7 linked regions of the Daphnia pulex genome follow. The protein of the gene in region 6 purifies or fractionates together with the protein of the main gene of each other region. This does not show direct contact. Links are inferred from orthologs where the notes say so. Each region holds a gene or a part of one and is shown on either strand. Other genes may lie near its edges. The genes, in order: CD2 antigen cytoplasmic tail-binding protein 2 homolog, U4/U6.U5 tri-snRNP-associated protein 1-like, U5 small nuclear ribonucleoprotein 40 kDa protein-like, small nuclear ribonucleoprotein Sm D2, U4/U6 small nuclear ribonucleoprotein Prp4-like, probable ATP-dependent RNA helicase DDX23 and 116 kDa U5 small nuclear ribonucleoprotein component-like.

The links.
Region 1: the proteins of probable ATP-dependent RNA helicase DDX23 (region 6) and CD2 antigen cytoplasmic tail-binding protein 2 homolog purify together in Homo sapiens (affinity purification with mass spectrometry; 6 studies listed by BioGRID and IntAct, counting the BioPlex papers as one, with this or other methods). This does not show direct contact. The link is inferred for Daphnia pulex from reciprocal best matches to the Homo sapiens genes DDX23 and CD2BP2.
Region 2: the proteins of probable ATP-dependent RNA helicase DDX23 (region 6) and U4/U6.U5 tri-snRNP-associated protein 1-like purify together in Homo sapiens (affinity purification with mass spectrometry; 3 studies listed by BioGRID and IntAct, counting the BioPlex papers as one, with this or other methods). This does not show direct contact. The link is inferred for Daphnia pulex from reciprocal best matches to the Homo sapiens genes DDX23 and SART1.
Region 3: the proteins of probable ATP-dependent RNA helicase DDX23 (region 6) and U5 small nuclear ribonucleoprotein 40 kDa protein-like purify together in Homo sapiens (affinity purification with mass spectrometry; 3 studies listed by BioGRID and IntAct, counting the BioPlex papers as one, with this or other methods). This does not show direct contact. The link is inferred for Daphnia pulex from reciprocal best matches to the Homo sapiens genes DDX23 and SNRNP40.
Region 4: the proteins of probable ATP-dependent RNA helicase DDX23 (region 6) and small nuclear ribonucleoprotein Sm D2 purify together in Homo sapiens (affinity purification with mass spectrometry; 3 studies listed by BioGRID and IntAct, counting the BioPlex papers as one, with this or other methods). This does not show direct contact. The link is inferred for Daphnia pulex from reciprocal best matches to the Homo sapiens genes DDX23 and SNRPD2.
Region 5: the proteins of probable ATP-dependent RNA helicase DDX23 (region 6) and U4/U6 small nuclear ribonucleoprotein Prp4-like purify together in Homo sapiens (affinity purification with mass spectrometry; 4 studies listed by BioGRID and IntAct, counting the BioPlex papers as one, with this or other methods). This does not show direct contact. The link is inferred for Daphnia pulex from reciprocal best matches to the Homo sapiens genes DDX23 and PRPF4.
Region 7: the proteins of probable ATP-dependent RNA helicase DDX23 (region 6) and 116 kDa U5 small nuclear ribonucleoprotein component-like purify together in Homo sapiens (affinity purification with mass spectrometry; 6 studies listed by BioGRID and IntAct, counting the BioPlex papers as one, with this or other methods). This does not show direct contact. The link is inferred for Daphnia pulex from reciprocal best matches to the Homo sapiens genes DDX23 and EFTUD2.

The regions. Positions count from the first base shown.
Region 1 is NC_060022.1:6,690,472-6,693,721, forward strand, and holds CD2 antigen cytoplasmic tail-binding protein 2 homolog, read right to left. Parts: upstream 1,788-3,250; 5' UTR 1,706-1,787; coding exon 1,558-1,705; intron 1,494-1,557; coding exon 700-1,493; intron 635-699; coding exon 533-634; 3' UTR 501-532; downstream 1-500. Other genes in the region: 28S ribosomal protein S29, mitochondrial-like, read right to left, coding at 1,851-2,051, 2,111-2,203, 2,267-2,408, 2,463-2,623, 2,725-2,861, 2,932-3,024, 3,098-3,250. UniProt on the Homo sapiens protein: Involved in pre-mRNA splicing as component of the U5 snRNP complex that is involved in spliceosome assembly.
Region 2 is NC_060026.1:10,447,501-10,451,656, reverse strand, and holds the start of U4/U6.U5 tri-snRNP-associated protein 1-like, read right to left. Parts: upstream 2,801-4,156; 5' UTR 2,775-2,800; intron 2,674-2,774; 5' UTR 2,472-2,673; intron 2,391-2,471; exon of another isoform or gene 2,368-2,390; 5' UTR 2,355-2,367; coding exon 2,189-2,354; intron 2,134-2,188; coding exon 1,963-2,133; intron 1,906-1,962; coding exon 1,580-1,905; intron 1,516-1,579; coding exon 1,254-1,515; intron 1,196-1,253; coding exon 896-1,195; intron 831-895; coding exon 547-830; intron 474-546; coding exon 311-473; intron 237-310; coding exon 62-236; intron 1-61. UniProt on the Homo sapiens protein: Plays a role in mRNA splicing as a component of the U4/U6-U5 tri-snRNP, one of the building blocks of the spliceosome. May also bind to DNA.
Region 3 is NC_060027.1:3,204,468-3,208,640, forward strand, and holds U5 small nuclear ribonucleoprotein 40 kDa protein-like, read right to left. Parts: upstream 2,801-4,173; 5' UTR 2,458-2,800; coding exon 2,380-2,457; intron 2,224-2,379; coding exon 2,094-2,223; intron 2,031-2,093; coding exon 1,857-2,030; intron 1,795-1,856; coding exon 1,586-1,794; intron 660-1,585; coding exon 456-659; intron 398-455; coding exon 232-397; intron 161-231; coding exon 108-160; 3' UTR 28-107; downstream 1-27. Other genes in the region: syndecan-like, read left to right, coding at 3,821-3,913. UniProt on the Homo sapiens protein: Required for pre-mRNA splicing as component of the activated spliceosome. Component of the U5 small nuclear ribonucleoprotein (snRNP) complex and the U4/U6-U5 tri-snRNP complex, building blocks of the spliceosome.
Region 4 is NC_060018.1:305,221-307,981, reverse strand, and holds small nuclear ribonucleoprotein Sm D2, read right to left. Parts: upstream 1,525-2,761; 5' UTR 1,354-1,524; intron 1,285-1,353; exon of another isoform or gene 1,253-1,284; 5' UTR 1,137-1,252; coding exon 1,132-1,136; intron 990-1,131; coding exon 734-989; intron 665-733; coding exon 557-664; 3' UTR 501-556; downstream 1-500. Other genes in the region: proteasome subunit alpha type-6-like, read left to right, coding at 1-42, 113-323, 386-443; cofilin/actin-depolymerizing factor homolog, read left to right, coding at 2,733-2,735. UniProt on the Homo sapiens protein: Plays a role in pre-mRNA splicing as a core component of the spliceosomal U1, U2, U4 and U5 small nuclear ribonucleoproteins (snRNPs), the building blocks of the spliceosome.
Region 5 is NC_060018.1:6,530,833-6,534,568, reverse strand, and holds U4/U6 small nuclear ribonucleoprotein Prp4-like, read right to left. Parts: upstream 2,387-3,736; 5' UTR 2,247-2,386; coding exon 1,888-2,246; intron 1,829-1,887; coding exon 1,709-1,828; intron 1,646-1,708; coding exon 1,247-1,645; intron 1,187-1,246; coding exon 910-1,186; intron 820-909; coding exon 763-819; intron 700-762; coding exon 613-699; 3' UTR 501-612; downstream 1-500. Other genes in the region: tumor protein p63-regulated gene 1-like protein, read left to right, coding at 83-210, 282-475; splicing factor 3B subunit 4-like, read left to right, coding at 3,387-3,420, 3,486-3,736. UniProt on the Homo sapiens protein: Plays a role in pre-mRNA splicing as component of the U4/U6-U5 tri-snRNP complex that is involved in spliceosome assembly, and as component of the precatalytic spliceosome (spliceosome B complex).
Region 6 is NC_060019.1:348,406-352,361, forward strand, and holds the start of probable ATP-dependent RNA helicase DDX23, read left to right. Parts: upstream 1-1,156; 5' UTR 1,157-1,367; intron 1,368-1,435; exon of another isoform or gene 1,436-1,667; coding exon of another isoform or gene 1,668-1,757; intron 1,758-1,825; coding exon of another isoform or gene 1,826-1,960; intron 1,961-2,021; coding exon of another isoform or gene 2,022-2,205; intron 2,206-2,269; coding exon of another isoform or gene 2,270-2,410; intron 2,411-2,471; coding exon of another isoform or gene 2,472-2,582; intron 2,583-2,639; coding exon of another isoform or gene 2,640-2,794; intron 2,795-2,857; coding exon of another isoform or gene 2,858-3,048; intron 3,049-3,109; coding exon of another isoform or gene 3,110-3,263; intron 3,264-3,324; coding exon of another isoform or gene 3,325-3,606; intron 3,607-3,663; coding exon of another isoform or gene 3,664-3,906; exon of another isoform or gene 3,907-3,956. Other genes in the region: glycine dehydrogenase (decarboxylating), mitochondrial-like, read right to left, coding at 385-579; phosphoglucomutase-1-like, read right to left, coding at 1,668-1,757, 1,826-1,960, 2,022-2,205, 2,270-2,410, 2,472-2,582, 2,640-2,794, 2,858-3,048, 3,110-3,263 and 2 more. UniProt on the Homo sapiens protein: Involved in pre-mRNA splicing and its phosphorylated form (by SRPK2) is required for spliceosomal B complex formation.
Region 7 is NC_060028.1:8,367,612-8,371,780, reverse strand, and holds the start of 116 kDa U5 small nuclear ribonucleoprotein component-like, read right to left. Parts: upstream 2,801-4,169; 5' UTR 2,581-2,800; coding exon 2,260-2,580; intron 2,192-2,259; coding exon 1,867-2,191; intron 1,795-1,866; coding exon 1,670-1,794; intron 1,599-1,669; coding exon 1,351-1,598; intron 1,288-1,350; coding exon 1,125-1,287; intron 1,054-1,124; coding exon 918-1,053; intron 846-917; coding exon 168-845; intron 98-167; coding exon 1-97. UniProt on the Homo sapiens protein: Required for pre-mRNA splicing as component of the spliceosome, including pre-catalytic, catalytic and post-catalytic spliceosomal complexes. Component of the U5 snRNP and the U4/U6-U5 tri-snRNP complex, a building block of the spliceosome.

The sequences.
Region 1 (3,250 bases), on a different chromosome or scaffold from region 6:
CATAATCTAACGGGGGAAATTTAATGGAAATTTGTTTGTTTATTTCCGAAGGAAAGCGTCGACTTTCAATTCCCATGCAACTATACGTATATAAAGTACTCTAAAATGGTTTCTCTTGTTTTTGAATAACTAACTATACACGTTATATGTAATCAATTAGACGGCTATGTTTGGTTCACAGATGGTTCACATTATTTGTTAACGTTACGTTATCGAAAATTAAAGCTTTCGATTTTTGCTTGTATTTTACGCTGAATCGTGGTGAACCGGTAGATCTTGGTATTAAATCAATATACATGATACATGAATAGTGATGATAACCCGTGCCACTAACACATTGCAACCCGGTAGTACCGTAAACCGGTAGGGCACCGTTTAATTGTTAAAATGAAGATGTTTACTGAAGTAACTAAACTAAAGAATAAAAATGTCTGATATCTTGATCAAGTTGCTGAAAAATAATTAATTAAATAGCGTCTCATGCTCTCATCATTAGGTAATAAAAGTGAAAGGACATGTATTATTATACGAATCAAAGGTATAGATCAAAATCGATTCGCCGTGAGGTATAGAAATCTCCTGGTTGTCCGACACGGCGAACCCAAACACCCGATTCAAAGTATCCTTGGTTTACCTATAAATATGTGGTATATTAGAACAATAATTAGCCAAAGTAACACTAATAATCATATAACAAACCCAGTCAAGCATCTCTGATGTGCTATGCGGTCCGTGTATTTCTGCATCTTCTTCTTGTTTCCATTTGAATTCCCATTGTACAGTTTCTGGTTTTACTTCGTCTTCTTTAGCTTGACCTTCGCCTTCATCAAACCGAACCTTCTTGGTAATGGGTTCTCCTTGGACTGACTCCGATTCCCGTTTATTGGAGTCAGCTTTATTTTTTTCATCGAACATATCTCCAAACATATCGAGATCATTTGTCGATTGCGTCACAGGTTCTTCTGATTTTTTAATCTTGAAACGTATCCCTTCAAAAGTTTCTTGATAAACATCCATGTTTCCCATATTAGAAAGAATGCTATTCGCATGTTCAGTTAATTTGGCTATGTTTTCCTTATTCAATTCATTTGTTTGGTGGTCTCCTTCGTCTTGCTGCTTTTTCTTTTTCTTCCATCGCTCAGATGCTGTTTGAACTTTACCACCTCCTAATCTTTTCAAAGCTTTTAGAACTGTTTCACCAGGTAAAAGTATGGCCAGCATTTCTTTATATACAGGAATGGGATCAAATTTCTTCAAGTAATCATTTGTATCCATACTTTCTTCATCTGATGGATTTTTGTTGGAAGCTGCTTGAGAATTCACTTTAACCCAATCTATGTTGTCCAGCCAATGGTCTTTCACTTCATCTTTCTCCCGCTTTCCAAAAATGTATGTCCCTTCTTTATCGAAGTGCCCTTCTTCCATTTCTTCTTTCATGTTAAATGGTGTAATCTGAACTTCTCCATCAAATTCTTGGGTAGGGTCCTCTTGGCCTGTTGGGACAGTAGAAATGAATTGTGGATAATTTCTTCGAAACTGATATTTTATTTCTATTACCTTCTATATCATCTTCTCGCATCATCTCATACTTTTCAGTTTTTTCATCATCTTCACCACTGTCATCTCCGTCAGAAAAATCTCCTTGGTCGACATTTCCTGTTTCTAACGTGTCTTCTTCTAATTCCTGGTGTTTCCTTTTCGGCATTTTCTTTGATAAAACTCGAATTGATTATTCTAGGATAAAGGAGACAAACAGATTTAAAGAACGCGTCTTCTCGATGTATTTTTAAATAAATGATTTCGGACTAAGAATTATTTGACTTTTATTTTTATTGTTAATAATCATCCAATCAATATGGAGCAACAAGTCTCATTAAACTGTATGGATGCTTGCCACTAGTAAAACTCAGTTCAGCTCGTCCATTGTCCGTGCGGGCTTTCGGTTGCTGAAGCCAATTTCGTTCAATGTAATAGTCGATTTGCGAACGAAATTCTTTGTCATTATAGTTCTGTACTTCGATCGGGACGAAAGGATCTAGATGTTCGAAACCCTAGATGGATGGCAACGGAGTTGTTTAATTTGTTGTATGAATACCATAAATTGAAATACTGTTTTTCCAAGAAGATATCTAGGCAGAGGTGATTCACGCAGTTCCGGAGGATGAGCCGATGGATCAACTGATACTACGACGGCTCCGTTATTCTAAATTCAACCCATATTTTGAAATCAAATAACATTCCAATAATCACTATTTATGTTTTATACCCAATCATTTCTTGTAAGAGACAATAATGCATCCGTTAGCAAAAAGTCTGAGGGTAAAACCATGGATTTGTCTTCCCTGATCACGTTCGATTTCCGTGAAAAGAAAGAATTAAATCCATCGATAACCACGAGAACGCGGCATCTGCGTAAGATAACCGTGGTTTAATATGATTCAAAATTGCATTATGAAACGTACTGTTTGCTTGAAGCGGCTTTTTTAAGTTCATCTAACAAAGCAACAATACAACCAGTTGCATATTTGGCCCTGTTGAGACCCAAATCTATCAATTCACTCAGAGGAGATCCTTCAGCAGTCACTTCTCGTTTACTCCAAGTGTAGGTGTTACTTGTCTTCAGCTGTTATTTTAAGTTCAGAAAACCCATAATGAGTACACATAGAAAAGCATTGGCTTAAAACTACTGAATACAAAAAGAACATATAAATATGTTTATATCACCTCTAATTTATCCAACAGATGTCCATTCTGTGTGCTAAAATGCTTTAACCATTCTACTGCTTCAATTGGTTGATCATACTTATTTGCATGAACTGATGAAGGAGTGGCAACCTTCACGTATTGAAACCATTTGGGAACTAAAAATCAGTTGAATAGGATGGTATTATTAGCACAAAATATTTAGTAATAATCTTCCTTAGTTCTTACCCCACGGAACATGAACTAAAACAAATCCAGCACTGCTACCATAATGGACAATATGAGCTAGAGAAAGAGATTTTCCAACTCCAGTCTTTCCATCTGCAATAAATGGTGTAATACTTATAAAGGGTTTGTTAACATTATTAAAGGCATGAAAAAAAAGGTAACTTACACAGCACATATCTAAGAACTGGAGCATCAAAATTTGTTTTGTTCAGATAATGTATAAGCTCAATTGCAGGCTTTCTTACCATAATACACAATCCATTTAATGTTTCACTTAGCGATTGGTATTCTTTTGGTAATCCTCCTCCTGCAAAGAGTT
Region 2 (4,156 bases), on a different chromosome or scaffold from region 6:
AATAACAAAATAAAATAAGAATAACTGAATATCGTATAAACAAAACACAAAATAATTGTACGCTGCTTTATCTTCTATGGTGTAGCGCTGCGCCTGCAGCTCTTGGGCGGACTTAGAAATAACTATCCTCTTCTTCTCTTCTTTCTCCAGATAGCCTTTGCTCATAGCCAATTTCAAAGCTGCAGCCATTCCCGAGCCGACATCAGGTTCCTCGTCCAGGATAACAGTAGCGTTATCTATTTTACAGAGAGAAAAGAAAAAAATGCAAACACTGACAACAATAAAAGTGACGAGAACACAGTATACATACCCTTTTCATTACGATCGACATCCATGCTGTCGTCGGAACCTTGATCGTTTTCACGTTCCAGAACATTCCATCCACCGCGTTCTTGAAGACGCTCAGCCTCCCTTTTTCGCTCTTCTTTTTCTTGATTTCTTCTGCGTTCTTCTGCCAACTGTCGCTCGAAATCCTATTGCCAAAACAGAAACGCAATTAATTAAAGTCAAAACCAAAAAAAAAAAAACATTCATGCAATGAATTACCATTAACTCATCTTCGTCTTCATCACGATTGCCTGCCATACCATAGGTTGGTATGTCACCAAGAGTACGACAGAATTCTGCTGTGGCATTCAGTATGATACTACTCTTCAGAGGATCCTCTTCCATACCTTCCGTTTCTTCCAAAGGCTCGCGTTTTAATGACCGCGTAATCATGTTCATGTCCCACTGATCAGCCTTCCTTTCTTTTAGTTTATTAGCTTTTAATAGTGCCTGACGTATTTCTTTTTGGGATTCGTCTACAGTAATCTTGAATCCGCTTAAATCTGGCGTTGGATAAACAAGACATAATAAGTAATAATAAAACAATATACTAGTCAAACTAAAATACCTTCTGTGACCTCTTCATCCATTCTCTTCTTTCGAGATCTCGATCCCAAGTCTGACGAAGTTGTTTCTTGCGTTTCTTGAATAAGATCGTCAGCTTTTAAAATGCCGTCGCCTTTGGATCGAACCTTTTTGACGCGACGTTTAACTTTTTTGAAGGAAACCATTTCTTCTGCTGTATAATATTCAGATGCAATTTGGAGCGGTCGCGATTCCAGTGATTCAATTTTCTTCTGTTGCATTTTGAGTTTGTCTTTCATCAACTTTTGGGCTTTCATTTTGGCTTCTTCATCTCCAATTTTACCTAGAATTTTAACATAAATATTTTTGTAAAGATCAACAAAACAAATCTAATATTTTACCTAGGACAAAGCTATCATGTTTTTCTCCTTCTATTTCTGTGTCATATTTAGCAAGCAAGAGCTTTGGTTTGGGAAGGCCCAATTCATCAACTTCTTCCTCTTCATAGGGCTGATATCCCGGTCTCTGTTTCTTGATTTCATTGTTCTTTTTGTAGCGTTCTATATCAACAAGGTTGACATTCACCAAAACATCCCCTTCCTCTTGCAAGATGTTTTGATCTTTAAGAGTCAATACTACTTCTTTCCCTTCAGCTATCATTTCCTAACAAAATAAAGCAACATCAACACAGGTATTCAAATAAAAGTATACGTTGTCGGTGACTTACCCGGTCATGTTCTACTTTTATTCCTCGTAAGTCTCTACTTGTGTATGCTTTTGCTTTTTGTTTAATCAGTTCAGTAGTTACCATATCTCCTACACCAAATGCTTCATCCATTTCTTCAAGCATTTTTGCTCTTTTATTAGCTTCTTCCTTTTCTTTCTGAATCCTTCTTGATTTTTCAACCCAGCTAACAGCATTGTCATCATCATCAGCTGTTGTATGAGCAAGAGTGCGCACTTGTGCAAGCTTTTGTTCTATTTGCCTCTTTTCTCGTCTTTCATCTAGTTTTCGTCTCAACTCTTCTGTGGCTTTCTTTTCACGGAGGTTCTCTAGAGAAATACCACATTTAAATTGTACAAGTAAAGACATTTAAATGAAATCATTACCTGCTGGGACATGAACATCCTTTTTCTCAGTACTGGCTTCAACATTTGAATTTTCTCCTCCAATCTCCAATGGCTTCAAACCAAGTTCAGCTCTTATTCTGTTGGTTTCCTCAATCGAAATGGAAGTATCATTGGTTGAATTAGCAACTGGTCTTTCATCATTCCCTTTTCCTTAAAAAAAATTATTGGTTACTAGTTACTAATAAACATAATTTTGAATACATACCTGTCAACAGTTCTTCGCTCTGAATGTTGAGACTTATATCTTCCTTTATTTGTTTGGATTTGACGGAGGCATAACTTTTTGAATGTGATCTTGACGGAGACCTAGATGGGGAACGATGTCTTCTTTTTCGAAAATTATTATGATCGCGACTTTCTTTTCGGTCCATGTCTCCTTAAGAACTGAAAGAAAGTAGTTTAACTTAGGTGGGAAGTTTTGATTTCTTTAAACATAAAATTTTTTTCAATAGAATTCCTTAAAATATCAAACAATAAAAGTAGGGTACCAGAATCTGTATTCACTTAATGATCTTGCAACAATTTTACTTCAGAACTTGAGAACTGAGAAGCAGACTTCAGCTTTTGCAATATTTATTTTGATGCCGTTGGGTGTTGGTAAATTGCTAAATGCGGGATTGGAAAGCGGGGACAAATACAAATCCATTGATTCCGCAACAGATGGCGTGTTAATCCTCCTATTGAATAAAACTTAAAAAAAGAAAACAGAAGATAAATTTATCCGTAAATCAATAAAGGAAAAACATAATGAAAACATTAAGGCCAGTATAGTTTTTAACTATTTGTTTTACATGTGAAGACTTGTGCGGCAAAACCAAAAGTCCAAAACGAACAATGTCGTTGTCGATTTTTGTTTATACTAAGGGTTCCAAGATTCCGCACCAGGTTCGCTAGTGAGGTAGGCTGATCGCCTCAAAGACTATAGATGTTATTCCAATGAAAAAGTAGTAGTCGAACAAAAAGTCCTGCGCAGTTTACGCCGATGCGCACCACTGCGGCCGATAGCAGAACCAGAGCAATAGATGCCTGGTCGGTTCTCGGCTGTGTTGGCTTCCCTATCCCGGTTTTAGGGTAAACGTATCCCCGATTTTCAGACATTTTAGGGCGGAGCTTGTCAGAATTGTGAAGTAGAAACTGGAAACAGAGCCATCTAGGCTCTCAAAAGTAGCTAAGCGTAGTAGCTGACACACTCACTAGAGCGCTCATTCCAGTTTCCAAATCGGACCACGTTTACCCTGAATATAGGGTCTGTTGGGGTGACCACCCCCTCTCGATTTTCGCAGCGCTAGGTGGCTTATAGGATGAAGCCCGGCATGGCCGAAAAACGAAGAAATTTTTAGAAATTTTTTCAAAAATTTCAATCGTTAATATCTCGGCTTCTGAGCCGAGCATCGAAAAAACATGAAAATTGTTTGAAGAGGTGGGCTATCCCATCATTATGAAACAATTCGAATATTTCCAGGTGCAGCAGTTGACGAGAAAACTGCTGCACAAAAAACGAAAAAAATTCCAAATTTCGGCTACCCCCTCTCAGTTTTTTTAAAAAAATCTCCCAAATTACAAAAGCTAGGCGATTGCGGTTTTCAGCAATCGACTTAGCGAAAAATTTTGCACAAAACCCATCTATTTGTTAATTTTTAGAACCCCTAGCGACGATTTCCGCTAAATCAAAAACGGCCTCTTTGAGTGGCGAATCGCTTGTTGAATCGTTAGGAATATTGCTCAATTCCAGTTCGAAGTTGCCTAATTCCAGTTACGACAAAAACAGCAAGATAGAGTTGCATTTTGGTTCGGAGAAATAAACTGGTAATACTGTGTTGTTTTTTGGTGGTATATCTTCGTTCCATCCAAATATTTCTCTGTGCAGAGTGACTGGCAAGTTCGATTCAAGAACATACAACAACATCCTCAAAGAACATATTCTTCCTTTTTGCAAGATGAAATCAACTAGACATATTGGTGTAGTACATGACTGGTAATCTTATTTTCACATTACAAATTAAATTTCTTGTGTGTGTATGTTACCGAATATTGTTATCAACTGTTTATAGGTTCCCGGTTAACCGCAGCAAAGCTGCTATGAAATTTGTTACTGAACCAGAGGGTAACATTGTCATTCTTGATTTGCCTAAATAATTCGGGGACGCCATACCCGTTGAAACTGTTTGACTGA
Region 3 (4,173 bases), on a different chromosome or scaffold from region 6:
CGATTAATTTAAATGCAATTTTGTAAATATGCGTAAAAGAATTATTTGTTTATTCGTCCTCGATCCTTGCCATCGTTTCAACTGAAAAAAATTATAACCTTTCCTAATTAAGCGTCAATTTCGCCTAGGTAAATCAGCTTGTCACTGGCACCGGATGCAACTATGTTTCATTCAAAATAAAAAATCTGAAATTAATTGATGTCCTTGATGTTGATTTGCTGCGTAAATTACCAATAGGTTCCTTAGGATGAAATACAACGTCATTGACACTTCCGTTGTGACCAGGTAATTTGTAAATGATGCGGCGAGATGTAGTGTCCCAAATGTAAACGAATCGGTCGGCAGATCCCGCTGAAACTTTGGTTCCGTCAGGTGACCATGAGCAGCGAAGTAAATTCTATAACATTACACAAGGTATTAGAATGGATTGAGAAATTCGCCGGCATTGTATATACCTTTTCAAAGTTGTGAGCATGGCCAACCATCATTTTGATACAACGTTCTTGAGGAGCGAAAGGTCGTACATCCCAGACACGTAAAGAGTTGTCCATCGAGTTTGACAACACGTAAGATCCATCAGGACTGAGAGTCAAGCCGGTCACAGTGTCGGAATGGCCCTTCAAGGAGTAGAGGAGAGCATTTTTTCTCAAGTCCCAGACCTAAAAAGGAAAGTGTATGATTTACCTATCTCTCCATATTCACGTGAATAGCTCAAGGCCAGGACCAGTTGAAATATCGCAAATGCAAAACTACTTTTCAGGTTTTAAAATGAATATCTTCCAAAAAAAGGAGAAAACTTAACATGGGTTTAGTTCGAACGAAAAGATAATCGATAAAAAGTGAAAATTATCTATTTTTCAGAGTAAATTCTTCCTAAAGATGTCGCAAAATTGTCATAAGTATTACGGGGAAAAGTTTTGATCGATAATGTGCAACCATCTGACAAGCAAAGAAGTATCAGAATCCGCTTCCAGCGTTTCACATTTGCCTCAAACTGACAAAACACAAAAATGCGCATCTTCAGTAATTAGGATGGAATTAGGACATTTGACGAGACCCTACTGCTGAAATTACTTGAATTAATTTTAAAAACTTCGCCTACGAGCTTACATTAGTGAACCCATTCATATATCAAAGAGAAGGGGCCCTGGAAGTAAGGAAGGACTTGGTGACCTTATCAAGGTGAGACACGCGATAATCAGAATACCAAAGTTGAAATCCCTTGCACTCTTCAAGGAAAATGAACTCGATGATAGGGTAAGACAGAACTTGCACGAATATGGTTCAATATTAAGTAGAAAACAATCAACAATGTCGAAACTTTAGTTTTTACAACAAAGACAGAATATGACTGCAGGTCCTTCCTTTTTTGCCAAACTATTCTCTTGAAGCCATCAAGTAAAAATACTGAGAACTTTAATCAATTCTGTAAGAAAAATACTCAAGTTTGTGACTTTCTCCCACTCACACGGAATATGAAGTTCGCCGAATCGGTGGCTTAATTCAAATTCTTGGAAATTGGTCCCATAGTTTTTCTTCTCTCTCTCTCTCTCTCTATTACAACAATTGAATTTTGCGAACTCACCTTAACATCGTTGTCGATGCCTGCGGAAATGACTTGTTCGGCGGTATCGTTGAAGGTGACGGAAGTCGCTTGGTAAGAATTATCTAATGATACTGTCTCGGTTCTTTTTCTTGGATCCCAGACTTTGATGTTGCAGTCATCTGAGGCGCTGCAGAGAAGAGGAGGTCCTCTTCGTGCAGGATGAATAGCATTGACAAAGGAGGAGTGGCCTGTTGAAACAAATTGTTGTTGGGTTCAATTGCTAAATAATGGGACAGTGACAATGGTATACCTTTCAGTTTCTTGATTTTAGCTCCTGTTCTGGTGTCCCACAAACAAATGGTTTTGTCTGTACTAGCAGTGTAAATGGTATCACCATCGGTAGACAGCTGAAGATCCATTACTGCTCCGGTGTGACCAGACAACACAGCAAAGTTTTCACACTCTCCATAAACATTCCACAAAACTGTTGAACAAGAGGTTGATTATCCAAACAGTAGAGATGCTCAAATGTATATATGATGCTTACATATTTGTCTGTCGAACCCGGTGGAAACCAAAAACTGGCCGTCAGGATGGAACTTCAGGCTAAAGATATCTCCAGGATGTCCTGCCAGGAGCATTATAGGAGCCATGAGGCTAGACGTTCTTGCTGGTCCCTGTTTATTGAAAAAGTCAATATCACATTTGAATTCATCATAGCATCTACAACAACAAAACACACAAGCTGGTCAGCATGTGGTTGGATGCAATTCTCTTTTGTGATGCATTCGGCTCATTTAAAAGTTTATAAATAAAACACAAATAAATCAAACCTGTTGCAGGGCCACTTGACCCGAGGTGGCCGACACCAATTCATTATTGCTGGGATTGTTTACTGACACAAGCGCCATTGCTCCGGCTTCTAGACTTTTAAGAAAATTTTCAAGTTGTAGAAAAAAAAAGTGAAAAAGTTTTGACAACTACTACTGACGGAGCAGAAGCCTTTTCTTGCTAGATCTATATTTTATAGTGGTCGCCTTTTCCAAATCTTGTTGGAAACTTGGAAAGACTTTGGTATAATAAAAGAATAAAAATTGAGATGGGGAAAAGCTGTCACAGTGGTATATCGCTCAAGAATTTCCGAACCCTTTTTCTCTTTCTTTTTTTGGGAAAAAGAAGTTGTAACTCGAGGAATTTCATGAACACCCGCGCAGTCTTGGAAAACAATGGGTATTATTGGGGCCGGAAAACAGGCGAACCCACGATCGTAAAAAAAGAAAAGGAGTGTTAGAAGAAGGAGGGAGAAACAACAAACATTAAATCTCTCCCCTCGATATTTTCTTAAGTTTTGTGTGTCCGTGTGACTATAGAACAGAGGACCTTCTAGTTTTTTAACACTCGCAAGAAAACGACTTCACCAGTATATGTGATAGTCGCTATGTCTGGGATTTCTTTTCCATTCCAACGAAATTTGGTGCGTCGGAAAGAACAAAACTAGTCTCTCGAGATGAAGATATTTTGAGCGCTGAATCCATGACCTAAATTGAGTCATTCATTTTTTCCCAACATGATGAGGAAATGATGAGATTGATTTTTGTTTTTCCTTTTCTTTCCCGTGTGTGTGGTTTACATTCGTCCGTATAATTTCCACGTCTATGTTGTTGGAGGAGAAAGTGGGGAGGAGCTGAAAACTGCCGCCAGATGGCAGAGTTTTTGGTACCCAATGGCGGCGGAGGGACACAAAGAAAAATCCAGTCCCTTCAGTTTAATGGCGGCTCTCGGCTGGTGTGTTTGATGATCTGGGCGTGAGTTGGGATCTTTTAATCCATTTCGGCCTTTGGTTACATCGAGAAGTGTCTCGAAATCACGCCAATTCCCGGCAACTCTTTTTGTTCTGTTGATATTTAACATTCCGTCCCCGAATCGACGAGTAAAACTCGGCCATCGTTTTGGCTTCACCAGTGAACTGTGTGGTTGAGTGCGCGCCTGTGAGAGAGAAGAAGTGTGAAAGAAAGAAAGAAAATGCCCAGCCTGACCTGAGAGCATCACCGTCTGTGTTTAGAAAATTAGAAAAACGGACAAAAGGCTGCAACTATCCTAATTTATTCGACCACGTTCTCCACTTTTGTATTGAAATAACACAAAAATCTTGGAAGAAAACTTTAGAAACGGATATCCGGCTCTTAAAATAAATAATACTGAAAAAATCTCTCTCTCCACCCTCTCACACACACGTAAGGCAGACTCTCAAACGCTCAGGAAATTCTCTCAAAAATGAATCCCAGAATACATATGGCGATTTTCATCGCCTTTTTGGCTGCACATTCGGTTAGCAGTAACATCAACAGTGCATCATCGGTTGCCAAGGTAAGAATGCCACCACTTTTTATTGATCTTTTCACACATCTGGACTATCATAAAACTCCCACACCCTTGATTCCAGGCTCACAATTTTGTCACGACACATTTTGTTGGGTTTTGTTTTATTTTGTCGTTCTTTTTAAACTAACGTTTTGTGGAGAGAGAGAGAGATTACTTAATGATGTGGAAGTTTTGTTTTCTTGTAGTTTTAAAAAATTTCAGCTAAGTTGTTTGTGTTTGTCTCTCGAGTTCTGTTGATGACATTA
Region 4 (2,761 bases), on a different chromosome or scaffold from region 6:
ATGAAGAATTGGGGCCTGCTGTATACAAAGCTGACCCAGCAGGTATATATCTAAAATAGGGTGTAAAGTTCTCAAATTGTATGCTTTATTGCTGTTTTACTTTTTTTTCAAGGATATTACTGTGGTTATCGTGCTACTTCAGTGGGTGTTAAACAAACCGAGGCATCGTCGTATCTTGAGAAGAAATACAAAAAGAAACAAAACTACACACATGATGAAGTTATCCAGCTTGCTATTACAACTCTGTCTCATATCCTAACTGCTGATTTCAAGCCATCTGATATTGAAATTGGAGTTGTTTCTAAGGATCAACCAGGATTTAGGTAAGAAAATGCGCAAAATATTTAAGTTTAGGAAATTAATGTGACTGATCTGATTGTTATAGAATTCTGTCGGAAACTGACATCGATAAGCATCTGACTGCAATTGCCGAAAAAGATTAAGTTTGATTTTGTAACTTTTTCTTTCAACATTGGAATAAAACGAGATAATAAAACACATTTTCCGCTGTTCGATTTTTTTATTTCATACAAAAGTGAGAGATAAACACATACAATTATTTTGCTCCAGGAGTACCAGCCAAAGGATTTCTTAATACTAATATTACAGAATCTCCACGTAGGAACATTTTGGAGATAAAACGGTCCTTGTTGACTGGTTTGCTCTATAAAATAAATATACAACTGTCACTGTTGATAGATGAATGAATGAATGCAGAAATAGTGAAAATTACCTTCTTCTTTCCTTTCCCTGTTCTGGGAACTTCAGTCCACATTTCCTTGACATTTTCTAGAACCATATTGCAGTGACGGTCAAAAGCTTTAACACGTCCCAGTAGCTTTTTGTTGTTACGGCAGTTGATCAAGACCTGAGTGTTGTTTTTTACACTCTGAGTCAAAACTGAAAGTGGTCCAGTGTTGAATTCTTCTTCTTCCCGTTTGGCCAATTCCTCCGGTGTCATCTCCGACTTGGGTTTATTTGCAACAGCCCTATGGAAAGAAACATTTATTATTTAGTGCTCATACGAAACTGTCAAGTAGAGAAAAATCTGCAGACACGGAACACTGTAACTAGCTGAAAATATAGATTTAAAAATTTTCTATTTTGAAATTGAACTTAAGCTTTACTTACGCCATGATAAATAGAAGGATGTAAACGGATAGAGAAATATTCTTTGGAATATTTTTGAGCCCGGCTTCGTTTAACTTTTCAAACCGTTATTCACTTGTTTTTCGTAAACAAAACGTACATGCTGCGTTGTCATATTGTATTAATTAGCATTAGACGGTTGATGCTATTTTATGTCTTATTTGCGATTTAATTGCCAAAAATTGTTTTTTAATGTTGACTTACATTTTTAAGAGACACGTTTCAATTTCTAATAATTGTTGTGAAAAGAAAAGAATGAAATTTGCCAAGAAAAACATTTACAATCCCAGACGTCAGACGTCTGGGACTCTGTACTGGAATTCGTTTTAGTCGAGAGGAAAGGAAATACAAACCTCAGAAAGTAGAGTCAAGAGAAAACCGAAGCGGTTGACAATTGTCAGCCGACAGATGTTATGTTATGTAGCATAGCTTGTCTAATGCCATATATGGACATATTCCCCCCGTATGCACAGACTATTCTTTCTCATGGTCCCCAATGGAGAACGCTTTCCAGCGTTGTTGATAAGTCATCCTGAAACGGCGAAAACTTTCGAATCACGCTGTTATCGGCTGTTCATTGTGCGAAGGCGATCTATGGCAATTGAAACTTTTTGGTCTAAATTATAGAAACAGAGAAAGTTGTCGACACCGGTCCCGAGAGTTTCAGATTTTTAATACATAGGGGAGGGGAGGGCAGATTAGAGGGAGGGGAAGTAAAAATGTGAGTCATCGATGTCTGCCCATAAAAGGTCATCCTCCCCGAGAAACTGAATGAAAGAATAAGTGTGCAACTGGCCCAATAATTTTTTTTTTTCGTTAAAACACTCATGCGAGATGCACACCATTTATTAGGAAGTCGGAATGATCATTTAGAGTCGGCAACTTTTTGCTCAAGCAGAAAAATCTGCGAGTAGAGGATTTTACAGAAAAAGTTACTTTTCGTAACTCTCTCCAGGTTTGTGGTTTGGGCTCCCCTTTTTCGGGTTAACAAGCGCCCGATATGGACAACCAATCAGAGAATGTGCAACCAGTACACACAAAATTCTCTACAATCGGCATCATCCTTCAATCGCTAAGCAAGCAGAGACCCCTGGCGGTTACCCGAATTCATTTAACGACATTTGAGATTTTACATAACAGCAAACAGAATAAGAGTCATACAAATTATTTTTAAAATGATAAATGATGCGCCTATCATTATATGTTTTATTTGTGATAAATTAGTGAAGTTTGTAATATGGTTCGAAATAGGCATCGTTTGACGGCGCTGTATTCCACCCCCAGATGACGCGCTTTTCTGGGTGTGGACTGGGTAGCGCCAAGTTTTCTCAAGTTTGGGGAACAGCCGCCATTTTGCAGTGCGAGGTCCCGGCCGGTGTAGAGAAGTCTACTCTGAGTTTCCCCTCTTCTTTCGCCGCGCCACGAGTAAAATCTTATCGAGGGCATTTTCTCTCTCTCTCTCTCACTCGCACCACTCACTCCCCCCAGTGCCGTCTCATCCCGCAGTCATTCGGGTTGATCTTTCAGTTTAGGCGTCTTTGAGCTTTGCGTGAAATTTTTCTAGACTTTTTTCTTAGTCCAAAATGGTGAGTAACGTTGATATTGTCATGTC
Region 5 (3,736 bases), on a different chromosome or scaffold from region 6:
AAATCAGACATGACACATTGATACGTTATAATGTAGAAATGTCGAACAAAAGTTTTCAAGAAAGTTCTTGCTTTGGAATTAGATTGAAAAGAAACGGCGTCCGAATTTTGTTTGGGTCCGTGCCGGCAGAACCCAATTTTACCCAGTTATGGAATCCATGGAGCAAGGCAATTCCCTGGTTAACGTTTTTATCGCATCCACTACTTTCAAGTAAAAAGATTGCAATTCTGTTAATCATTATTCGATGGATGTTAACTCTTATTTTTACCTATGAATTTTAGCTGAACACACGACTCCTGCTATATTCGACGTTAAAGATTTTACAGTCAACCTACAGCGAACTTTGCAAAACGAGTACCAGGGTTTAGTTGAATACAAGCCAATTATAATGAATTCGTATTTAGGGCTTCCAGCATTAGTACACAACTACAGTCAATTCGGATTTTACAAAGTACGAGGGAAAGTAAGTTTTTAATACTCCACCCAATCTTCCCAACCAATAGGCTTCAACTTTTTTGTATTTAATTTATTAATGTTTTCGAAGTCCAATACACAAATAAAGAAATCAAACAAGCATGGTCGTCTTCGAAGCTGCACTCTATACTTCTACATTTATTCAGGGGACCAAAGCTTGTAAGTGCGATCGTACGAGGCTGTGGCGATGAACGACCCGTCAGGCGATACATCAACTGCCATAACCTGTAACAATAAAATAAAAAAATTGAGAAACACATCACAAACGTATCTGATTAAAAAATTTACTTTTCCGTCATGTCCCGAAAGGGTTTTCAATGGTTGCCAAGTGTTACTCGCCCATATCTAGGGCAGAAAATTATTTCAAATATATATAGATGACAAATGTAACATTTAAAGAATGCAGAAAGAAAATCTATTAATGATTATTCATACCTTTGCGGTACAGTCATATGAAGATGAGACAATATACTGTCCGGAACTTCTTTCGAATTTCACGCTCGACACTAAATTTGTGTGTGCAGGAATAGTATAGATACAGGATCTCTTACGTAAATCCCATATTTTACAGGTATTGTCTTCACTTCCAGTTACTATGTGGTAGCCATTAGGTGATATATCGATGCCCAAGACACCTTTTAAATGACCTTCCATAAACATGATGCAGCGCCCAGTTCTGAGGTCCCATACTCGACCAAAAGAGTCCATGCCACTAGAAAAAATTCCACATGTAATTAAAATATTATGTTAACATATTTTTAGGTGTTGGTACCCTGTGATAGCCACTGAACCATCAACATTGAATGCTATGTTGTATACAGGTTTGGAATGCCCTTCTTGATGAAGAACTTCTACACCCTGTTCTAGATCCCATAGCCTCCAGGAATTATCAAAAACACATGTAGCTAAAAATCTTCCAGAAGGATGAAATTCAACTTTTGACACTCGATGCGGAGCATGTCCTTCCATATCAGCAATCGGCTCTTCACTTTCTAAATTCCACAATTTGACTGCGCCGTCCATGGAACATGAAGCCATATTTAATTCTGAAGGTTCTAAGCTCAAGGTGGCTTGTGGATGGAAGACTATTGCTCCAACACTACACTTGTGGCCTCTCAATGAATGAGACAAAGTGCAGTCAGGTACATTCCACAATTTACACAGGCCACTCCTAAAACATGAATTGTTTTTTATTATCTGATTAACTCTCTTACAATCTCAGAATATTTAATACCAGGAGGCAGTGGCCAACAAATTTCCACTTGGGCTGAATTGGCAATATGATATTGGTCTTCCATCACCAACTTGGCTGCACATGATGTTCATACCTCTCATCCGTTTCACCATTTCCTGCCTGGAAAAGAAAAAATATATTAATTGGGATGTGCTTTCATAACAGAGCATATTTCAGACCTTTTGGCTGTTCTTGTTGATTCTGGTATTTCAGATTCAAGTTTCACATTAGATAACCTTTGTTTTGCTCTGGGGAGGGAATAATATGCTAACCACAAACGAGCAATTTTGAGTGATTCAGGACCTTCATGATACCAAGTGGTTTCAGTTTGATCTTTCTCAACCTTCACAATTTCTTTTTCATCTTCTTTTTTTCTATCGATCAAATCATGTCCATGAACCGAGAGTAACTCTTTTAATCTATTTCGGCGATCAGCAGGTCCTTCACCAAAAAGGGTTATTGGTTCACCTAATTGCCTAAGATGTTTCCGAATTTCCCCATCGTCAATTGTGATAGCGAAACCGGTTGTGGACGACATGTTTAAAGAAATGTGTTTTCTAATTGAACTTTTCCTGTTTTGATCTCAATGTTTAAATATTATAGACACCGACACCTCGTTTTGTCACGTTTTTGTTGTCAATACGATCGTTCTTAAATCTTAAATAGACTTTTACAAGCCAGACGACTCCCAAACGAAAAGCGACTTACGGTATGAAAAAATCATGTGCAGCATACAGAGCCACTGGTGGAAAACTGGAAAACTATGTTCCATGTACTCATTCTTCGGATAATAAACTGCCGCTCGCAAAAGAAATTTTAAATTATGATGTGTGATTTATTACACTACCTAATATACAAAACAGCCAGTCTGAATAATACCTGAATACTGAATCTTCGGTTTATATTACCAATTTGTGATTTCGATTAGAAAAAAATTATTCGCACTCATAGTGCAGCACATGCCCATCTGGGATTTTTTTCCAAAAATGATTTTGTTGCAACCTATAAAATTGAGGTTCAGCTCAGCATACAGTTGTTAATAGCATAAAATGCCTGATATGCGATCGATTACACATGCAGCAGACTGTGTAACAGACTGTGTAACAGGCCAATTTGGTGTACGGAAACATTAGGGAGTATACTAGGCCTAGTATAGGGACATAACCAAAAATGATGTTTGAAATATCAGATTGTCAGTTCAAAATTTGGTTATCCATTTTATGCATCTAATTTTAGAAAACTGTATAATAACTACAAAGAATTGTTCTTAATAAAGATCTGTATGAGAGGGAAAGGAATAAAGGATGTATTCTATTAACGCTTTAGATACAGAAATTTTATATTCTTAGTATTTCGTAGGATTTCCGGATATAATTATACATGCTTAAACACGGCATTATTTATTGGAATTTGGCAATTTGCAAAGAGACACAAGACACCACACAGACTAAGATTTGAAAACCTGTCGGATCCTTCCGCCCTTGCCGCTATTGAGTGTGTGGGCCGGTCTTTAGCTCCGGGCGTCATCTAGTTGGAGCTTGGTTAGTCAAAAGCACTGGCATAGGAAAACTGATCGCTTGACCGGCCTTCAATAATACAAGGCAGACACACTCAAACAAGCATTTTATATTTTGGAAGTTTGCAAATTTCAGGTGGAAACTATTTGGTTACTTTCAGCATGGCTGCTGGACCTGTTTCAGAAAGAAATCAAGGTAAGAAATTTAAGTTTATTATGCACTAAAATGAAATGACTATGTGAAATTTTTATCATTTTCAGATGCTACCATTTATGTTGGTGGGTTAGACGAAAAAGTTACGGAGCCCTTGCTGTGGGAGTTGTTCGTTCAAGGTGGTCCTGTAGTAAATGTGCATATGCCTAAAGATCGGATTACTTTACTGCATCAAGGATACGGATTCATAGAATTCCTCAGTGAAGATGATGCTGACTACGCATGTAAAATTATGAACATGATAAAGCTGTATGGTAAACCCATTCGGGTAAACAAAGCATCAGCACACCAGAAAAAC
Region 6 (3,956 bases):
TGTTGTTCTAAACGTGATTCAACGTGATTCTTAACAACATGCTAGACGTCTGTAAAGTTTAGGATTAATCCGCGGGTCCAGTGTCTACGCATTCCAAGTTTCAAGGCTTTCAAATGCCAAGACTAAACAAAATCTGTTCCCTATTATTTTTGAAGGCCTAACAATTCTCAAGGACGAAATGTATGGGCACTGCTATTTGCGGAAGGACGAATGTGATGGAAAAAGAAAACGTTTCAAACGGATGGAGCAGACGACTGTAGAACAAAAACAAGGAAAAACAAAAGACTAACGAAATTTGGGCTACTAGTAAAATAGAAACTTGTTTCGAATTTCAAAGAATTACATTCACCACACACAATACTTGTAAAAATAGGTGAAATGTACCTTGCACCCAACTACTTGAAGCATTTGTTGCTTCTGGGCTTCATTGGGTCCAATATGTCGACTTTTGAATGCCTGCCGAGCGGGCACGACGCGGTCGAAATGCGTTCCGCAAATCCGCTGCGCAGTATTAAGACTTCTCGAGCTGGTGCGGATGCATTCTTTCAGAGGACCCACCACTCTCAATAGATTCTGCATCTTTAAGGCCAATTATTACACAACGTGAGTCAAATGAAACAACACCGCAGGGCACTGTTACAGCACTATGGGAGACTGTGCAAGTAACACCTCACCACGACGAGCGCACGAAACGAAATGAGCGAATCGAGAGGTTTGCATTCGACTTTTTCAGTGCGGACGAAACGGGCGACTTTGACCTGGTTGTGTGTGTGTGTACATAGGAAATGTGGGGGTATAGGCAATAAGGTGGAGGGGGGGAGATATGTACATAAGCGAAACTGATCCCGAACCAGCGCGAAGCGGTTTTTCAAAGCTCATTTGGCGCCCTTGGGCTTCAGTCCATGGCCAATCCGCACGCGGATCCTTTCACTGCCATCAACTGCTGGGCATTATTTCGACTCGGCTAATTTTATTTTGTTGACGTATAGGTAACTGCCCAACTGCGATGTTGGCCAGAAAACATTGAACTGAAACGCATTTAACGATCGAATCTACCAAAGTTACATAATACAATCATTTTGTAAAAATCAAAACGCTAAATTTGTTACAGACCCAGACATAAGTTGACACTTGGTCGAAATAGATTTAGGCTAGCGATAATTCAGTGCAAACAAATAAGTGTCAAAACGGATTTGTCCAAAGTATAGTTTTTTTTTCCTTTTCAAGGACAAATGTCGTATGTTAAAAGATAAGGTGCAAAGTGCCGGGAACAATTCCTATACGTACCAGTGCGTGTAGATTGGCTTCAGCGTCAGTCGTGGTGCAACTTGTACCGAAGGTCTACCTCTCAGCCGAGAGATAAATACGTACGTATGATCTGAATTAGGTTTTCCCTATCATCACATCGGGACTAGTATAGACAGTTCACGCAGTATCACAAAGATTGCCTGTTTTATTAGACAAAGCAGCTAGCCACTCGGCAAATATTAAATTTTAATGATAACAGGAGAGATTCCAATTTCAACAACAACAACAACACTTTCTATAGACTATTAATTCATATCTTACCCAAAATCCAACACGAAACAAACAAAAACTAGAGCGCTGACTAAGAATAACTGCAGCTCGATTGCTCGGCAAGTTGTTGATTAAAAACGGCGTTATTATTACGTAATAACTGTGGGCTCGTCTCTGCCGGTCAGCTCCCGCAACTTGGAAATTCGAAGCGCGATCTGAACAAGTGGTTTCAACATGACCTAAATTCAATACGGCATTTATCTTTAAAAGCTTCAGGGTTACATCAATCAATGTCAATATGGTATACCTGGGCGTCAAGCAGATATTTATCAGCATCGGACTCGTAGCTATCGATGTAAAGGCGGACAGTAGCCCCTGAGCTTCCAGTGCCGCTCAGGCGAATGACAATACGCGATCCATCTTGGAAAATGATCCGCAATCCCTTTAGGATCAAAATGAATTAATACTGACATTTTTATTTCCGTTAAAGACATTTGTAGTACCTGTTTGGAGGAGAGGCTACCATCGATGGGATCGGTATAAGAAAAGTTATCGGCCAGGGCCACCGTAAAAGATTTGCCATCGAATTCGTGAACAGAACCGATGAACGAGGGTTCGTTCATGAGTGCCTCAAGGTCGGCCATCATTTTGTTGCAGGGCTCGGAATCACAATTTTCGTAATCGTATCTAAAAGGTCAATTCAATGTCATAAGTAACGTTACATAAATGTGTTACGTAACCTCTAATTCACCTCGTGAAGAAGTTTCGCCCGTACAAAGTCCAGTGGTCTTTTAGAATTTGTTCGACTGTTTGTTTCCTGGTGGCCAGAATAGACAACCAGGCAAGAACCGCCCATATTCCATCTTTTTCTCGAATATGATCTGAGCCAGTTCTATTAAAATTGCAGATATGAAATATTTTCATAAATAAAATTCGAATGTACTAAAATTTACCCAAAACTTTCTTCGCCGCAAAGCGACAGTTGTCCGGCATCCATCAGATTGCCAAAGTATTTCCAGCCGGTGGGGACTTCGTAGATACTTTTCTGCAATTTGACGGCAACCCTAATAAAAAATTATTTAGTTAAAACAAATTCAGTGGTCCAATAATGTAATTAATACCTATCGACAGCGGCACCAGTAGGCATGCTTCTGGCAAATCCTCTAACTCCAGTTTTACGGAAGTAAGGAATACAATCCATATTGTTGGCGATGACTGCTAAAGAGTCGGAAGGGGTGACGAAGAAGGCTTTCTCACCCAAAATCATGTTTCGATCCTTCATTTAAATACACACATTGAAATATTGAGTTAAGTTTAAGAGTTAATGAAAGTTAATTACTCCATCTCCATCAAAAGCGGCTCCAAGTCCGAAATCGCCTTCTTTCATAGCTTGAACCAAGTCGGCGGCGTAAGTAAGATTCGGGTCAGGATGATGTCCTCCAAAATCTTCCAGGGGAATAACATTTACGACACTTTGTGCGCTAGCTCCAAGCTCTTCGCAAAATATGCGGCTGACATAAGGACCGGTCACTAAAAAAACAGTGGTCAGCCAAATGGTGTCGTATTTAAAGACTTTTTCAAAGATCAATACCTCCGTGCATTGAATTGATCAACACTTTCAGAGGGGTTTGACCTGTTCCACAAATAAGGTTTTTGATAGAACCAAAATCAAAGATTTCTTTCATCAACTCCAAATAATCGTTGACAGAGTCTACGACTTCAACTGTAAATGGGTGGCCTTCAATCTACAAAGAGTGGAACATGGTATGAAATTTTGAATGACATCACTAATTTTAGCTTTCTTACATCAAATTGCTGAGTTCCAATGGTCTTAATATCACATTTCAGGTCTGGTACTGTAGAATATTCCTTGATTCCAGTAGAAAGCTCATAGATTTTGTTGGTTACACCATCAGGTGCAGGCCCACCGTTGGAGGTGTTAAACTTGATGCCGAAATCGGCATCAGGACCACCTGGATTGTGACTGGCAGTGAGCAAAATTCCACCGTTGGTCTTATACTTGCGAATCATGCAAGAGACTGCAGGAGTAGAAAGAATTCCGTTCTGCCCAACAATCAGCTTGGATACCTGTAATGACATCACATTAGAACCATATTTTTAAAACGGAATAACAAGGATCTGTACCTTATTGGCAGCACAAATGCGGACAATGATCTCGACTGCTTGGTGCAAGAAATATCGTCCATCTCCACCAAGTACCAGAGTCGAACCGGTTAGAGCCTCACCAAGTCCTCCAGTTAACAACGACTGAATAAAATTTTCCGTGTAATGTGGCTGAGAAAATACTTTAACCGCTTTTCTTAGGCCGCTAGTGCCAGGTTTTTGGCCTTCAAATGGCGTTGTAGGTACTTTTATTGGACTCAACATCTTAGTTTTTCTCCCGTAGTTACAGCACAAGAGACTGAGACTAGAACTTT
Region 7 (4,169 bases), on a different chromosome or scaffold from region 6:
ATTGTGATTTTATTCTTTTTGTTTGGAGTTTCGGCAAAACATTTCAGTGAGGACGTTTCCACGACCGTTTCGCAAAAAGACACCACAGGATCAGCAACTACAAGAAAAACCAAAGTGAATTAGTTAAATTAGAAGAATTAACAGTTGGGAAGAAATGAATGGCAAACCTTTAATGTCGATTTCCGAGTACATTTTCCTGAGATCGTGCATGACACAGTCCAGGTAAAGTTCGCCTGTTCCAAGAATAACGTGCTCGCCCGACTCCTCCACTCGCGTCGAGAGCAACGGGTAAGATTTGTTAACCTTACGCAGACCGTCCAACATCTTGGGCAATTCGCTGGGATTCACCGGCTCAACGGCAATTTTGATGATGGATTGCGTGTTGAATTTCAAGGGTCGGCAAATGTACAAGTCCTCGTCGACGTGAACCTGGACGATGGTCGACGTCTTGACCACTGAGGCATCGATCCCTTCGATCAAGACCCAACTGCCTGCCGTTACTCTATTGACTTCGATCTTGTAACGGGCCTCGTATATCCAAAGTCGACCGATCGTCAACACACGTGAATCTTCTTCGTCATTGAGCGAATAGTTTTCACCCAGGAGTCGGACGTTCTGGTGAGCGTGAAGGGTCCCACTCAGGACACGACCCAGGACATAGAATCCAGTGCAGTCCTCTGTGGGATACTGTTTGGTAGTATGGACAACCAGTTGGCCGTTGGGATCACAGTTGACCATGTCTTCGCCCAGGATGGACTCCAGGGGACCTGTGTAAATGTGTTCCACTTTGGTGCGAGCAGCCGTTACGGGCGACGGGACGTGTTTGACGCACATTTCCACGAAACCTACACACACCAGTCAAACATTGACATTTAAAGACCGTTGCTTCAATTCAACATACATTTTAATTGACATACCGCTGAAAGTGCCCAGGTAGCGACTGCAGACCAGTCTCAACAAGGGGCGAGTGTTTAACCGCTGTTCCTCGACAGTCAGGCGAATGCCAAGTTCGTCCAGCAACTGCGGTAGACTCGAATCCAAATCTCCCACAACCTAAACAAGCAAAAAATATTGGAAATGAATCAACTGTTCAAATTAACTGCAAAGTTGTCCTTGGTACATGCCTGGGCAAAGATTTTGTACAACGGCTCTAAAATGAACTCGATGAAACTTCGCTGAGCCGAGCTATGTGGCGGCTTTTTGGTGAACTTTCTCGTCTTGCTGTTGAAGTAAATGTCACCCCACAGACGACGTGCTAACTCGTTGTCGTTGATATCGGATCCGTATCTAAAATGAAAGAAAATGAAGTTTCATTTAAGACCGTCATTGCCATTGTGGACGTGTGCGTACGTGTCACTGTAAAGTTTGGCGAAGGATTTAAGGGTGAAGCAAACGGAGAACTGGGCAGAAGCAAAGCAGACGTTGCCCAACAAGGGCGACACGAATTTTGGATTCTCTTCGTCGCTGTACAGGCCCAAAAGACCGTTGATCTCTTCAATGATGTAGCGCAACTTGTAATATGCGTCCTGAGGTGGCAGCTTGAGCTCCAAAATGAGTCGATCGATTTTGTTGATGCAAACTGTGATGGCCATTTTCTCCTATGAAAGGACAGGGTTAAAAAGAAATTCTTGGAATAACCAAGTTGAAGTTTTTTTTTTTTTTTAATTACCTGGACGGCGTGCTTCAAGATTCGTTCCGTGTTGAGCATGACACCCTCGACAGCGTCGACAAAGAGGACGATACCATCGCAAAGTCTCAGGGCAGCCGTGACTTCATCTGAGAAGTTGACGTGACCTTTAAGAAACATCAAAATCGATTAAATACATTTTTCCCCCCCATTTTGCAAGTTGGAAAACTGTAATTTACCAGGTGTGTCGAACATGTTGAGGAGGAAGGATTTTTCGTTCAGGTCGGGCATGACCACGGTAATGGGCGTCGCTTTGATGGAAACACCTCTCTCTTGTTCAGTAAAGAGTGTGTCTGTGTATCTGACAGGCTTCTCCTCTCCACTGCCAGGTTTTCCCGTCTGGAGATCTGGGTGTGTTTGCATGAGCAGACAATCCATGAAGGAAGTCTTGCCATGGTGCAAATGACCAACAAGGGCCACTGAACGAATAAGTTCTGCAGAGTCCATGAGATCAGCCAAAAACTCCATGTTATACGTGGTTTCAGGGAGTTCTTGCTCAGCAACCTAATGAAAATGGGTGGAAACAGGTTAATCAACAAAATGAAATATGGCAGCGAAACAATTTGTGGTACCTGAAACTTCCTTCGTTTGACAGGTGCGATGATGGGTTCAGTCAAGGGCTGAGCATCTTCTTCCTGCACCAGTGTCTCCACACCAGGTCCGTAAACCTCCAACGCTGATGGATAGTATTTTTTGTCTTCATGCAAAACAATGGCCATCTGTGCGTCGCCATCAACCACCGTTTGATCCATGGCCTCTTCGGAATCATTGTCACCATAGTCTTCGGCTTCGTCATCGTGATCAGCCTCGTCTCCTTCCTCATTTTCGTCTTCATCTGACTCGAGTTCGGGTCCAATGTAATTGCCGAATTCGTCGTAGAGATCGGCGTCCATTCTTGACAGTCAACTGAGTCGTTTGCTGTCTGTAAATTGGGCAGATACTTTGGATGTTGTCGATCGGTATTCGGCTTAACCCAACACTCACAGTTATAAAGCTGTTTCAAAAGGGAATTTCAGAAAAGCCGGGCCTTTCAAGAAAATGCGTTTACTATGCGTACAGATTTGCACGCGCTCAAAACGAGCGACACTAGCGACATCTAGCGGGTGCCAATGAAATCTGAATTTAAGAACAGCGCCATCTACCAGCTAGCAGGTGGATTATGAGTGGCAAAAAAAATGAAAATAAAATAAAATGAATAAAATAAATAAAAATAAAAATAAATAAATAAAAATAAAATAAAAGAGAAAAAAAAAATTCACAGCGTAATAAAATGCAAATGGGAATCCCGTTGAGGGCGGGGTTTTCCCTACCCGAATAAGGAAATGTTTCTGGCGCTGTTTTTTTGCTTGTGCACTGGAAACTGAAATCTAGTTGTGAATTTATATAGATGACGTGTCAGTCGCTATCAGGTCGGGTCCACGACGGAAAAAAACATTTTGTAGGAGAAACAAAGTCAGTCGAACACGGGCGATAATATCAATCAAAGCGGGCGAAATAAGGAGTAAAATGCCGTCATGTTTTTGAATTGAATAACGGAATAAATCTCAGCAGTCGTCTGATGTCTACGCACACAGTGCAGAATTTCAGTTTTGCCGGGCGATGGAAGCCCCCTGGATGGGCAAGTGCCCTTATATGATTTATTGCTGCCGACTCGTATGGAAAGATATATTAGACGTCTTTATCTGCAGACGAGTCTACAGACGAGCGACCCCGATTTATATATTCGCTTGTTGGTTTGTTGTTGCCAAAAGGAAATCACAAAAAAAAAACCCAAAAAATACTTGGGATGATATGGGCAGATCGACAAAATCAATGCCGGCCATTCGGTGATGTAGACCAGCCCAGCCCAGCCCAACTAGAGTTCTCCTTCTGTCCATGGGTTCTCGGTTGATGGTTCTTTTTTTTTTTTTTATTCGGGATATAATCACCGTTATCGGCGATGCTTCGAGTTGCTTGTTCTGTTTTTGTTGTTTGCAGCAATGTCATCCATTGTGTAGGCGGATAGAATGTACCCGGTTGAATGTCGCTGCACACATTTAGACTTGGCCAACAGCAGCAATCGACTTCCTCCTCCTTATTCCTCGTGCGTGAATTTTCCGTGGGGGTGTCCAATCAATAGCCCGACAGACTCTGACTGAGATTTTTTTTTTTTTTGGTTTGTTTTGTTTTTCTCTTTTTAAATTTCTATCCATCATCTTTTTTGTGTCTGCGGGGGGGTCACTATACTGTCCGGTGTGCATTGCCACGGCGGTGTAGTCTGTCGGGAGTCAAGGCTTAATGGATCGCAATGATTATTGGACGGCATTCATTACTACACAATACCCTTCGACATGGATGAAGCGATTGTAGTTCACTGGACTCCTGGACACATTAGACTTACGAAATGATTGATTGTTAATCAAGTCTCGTGGTGATGACGGAATGTTATTAGACCTCGACATTGGTCGAGCCAACAATCTCCACCCCAATTATAAAATTCGGC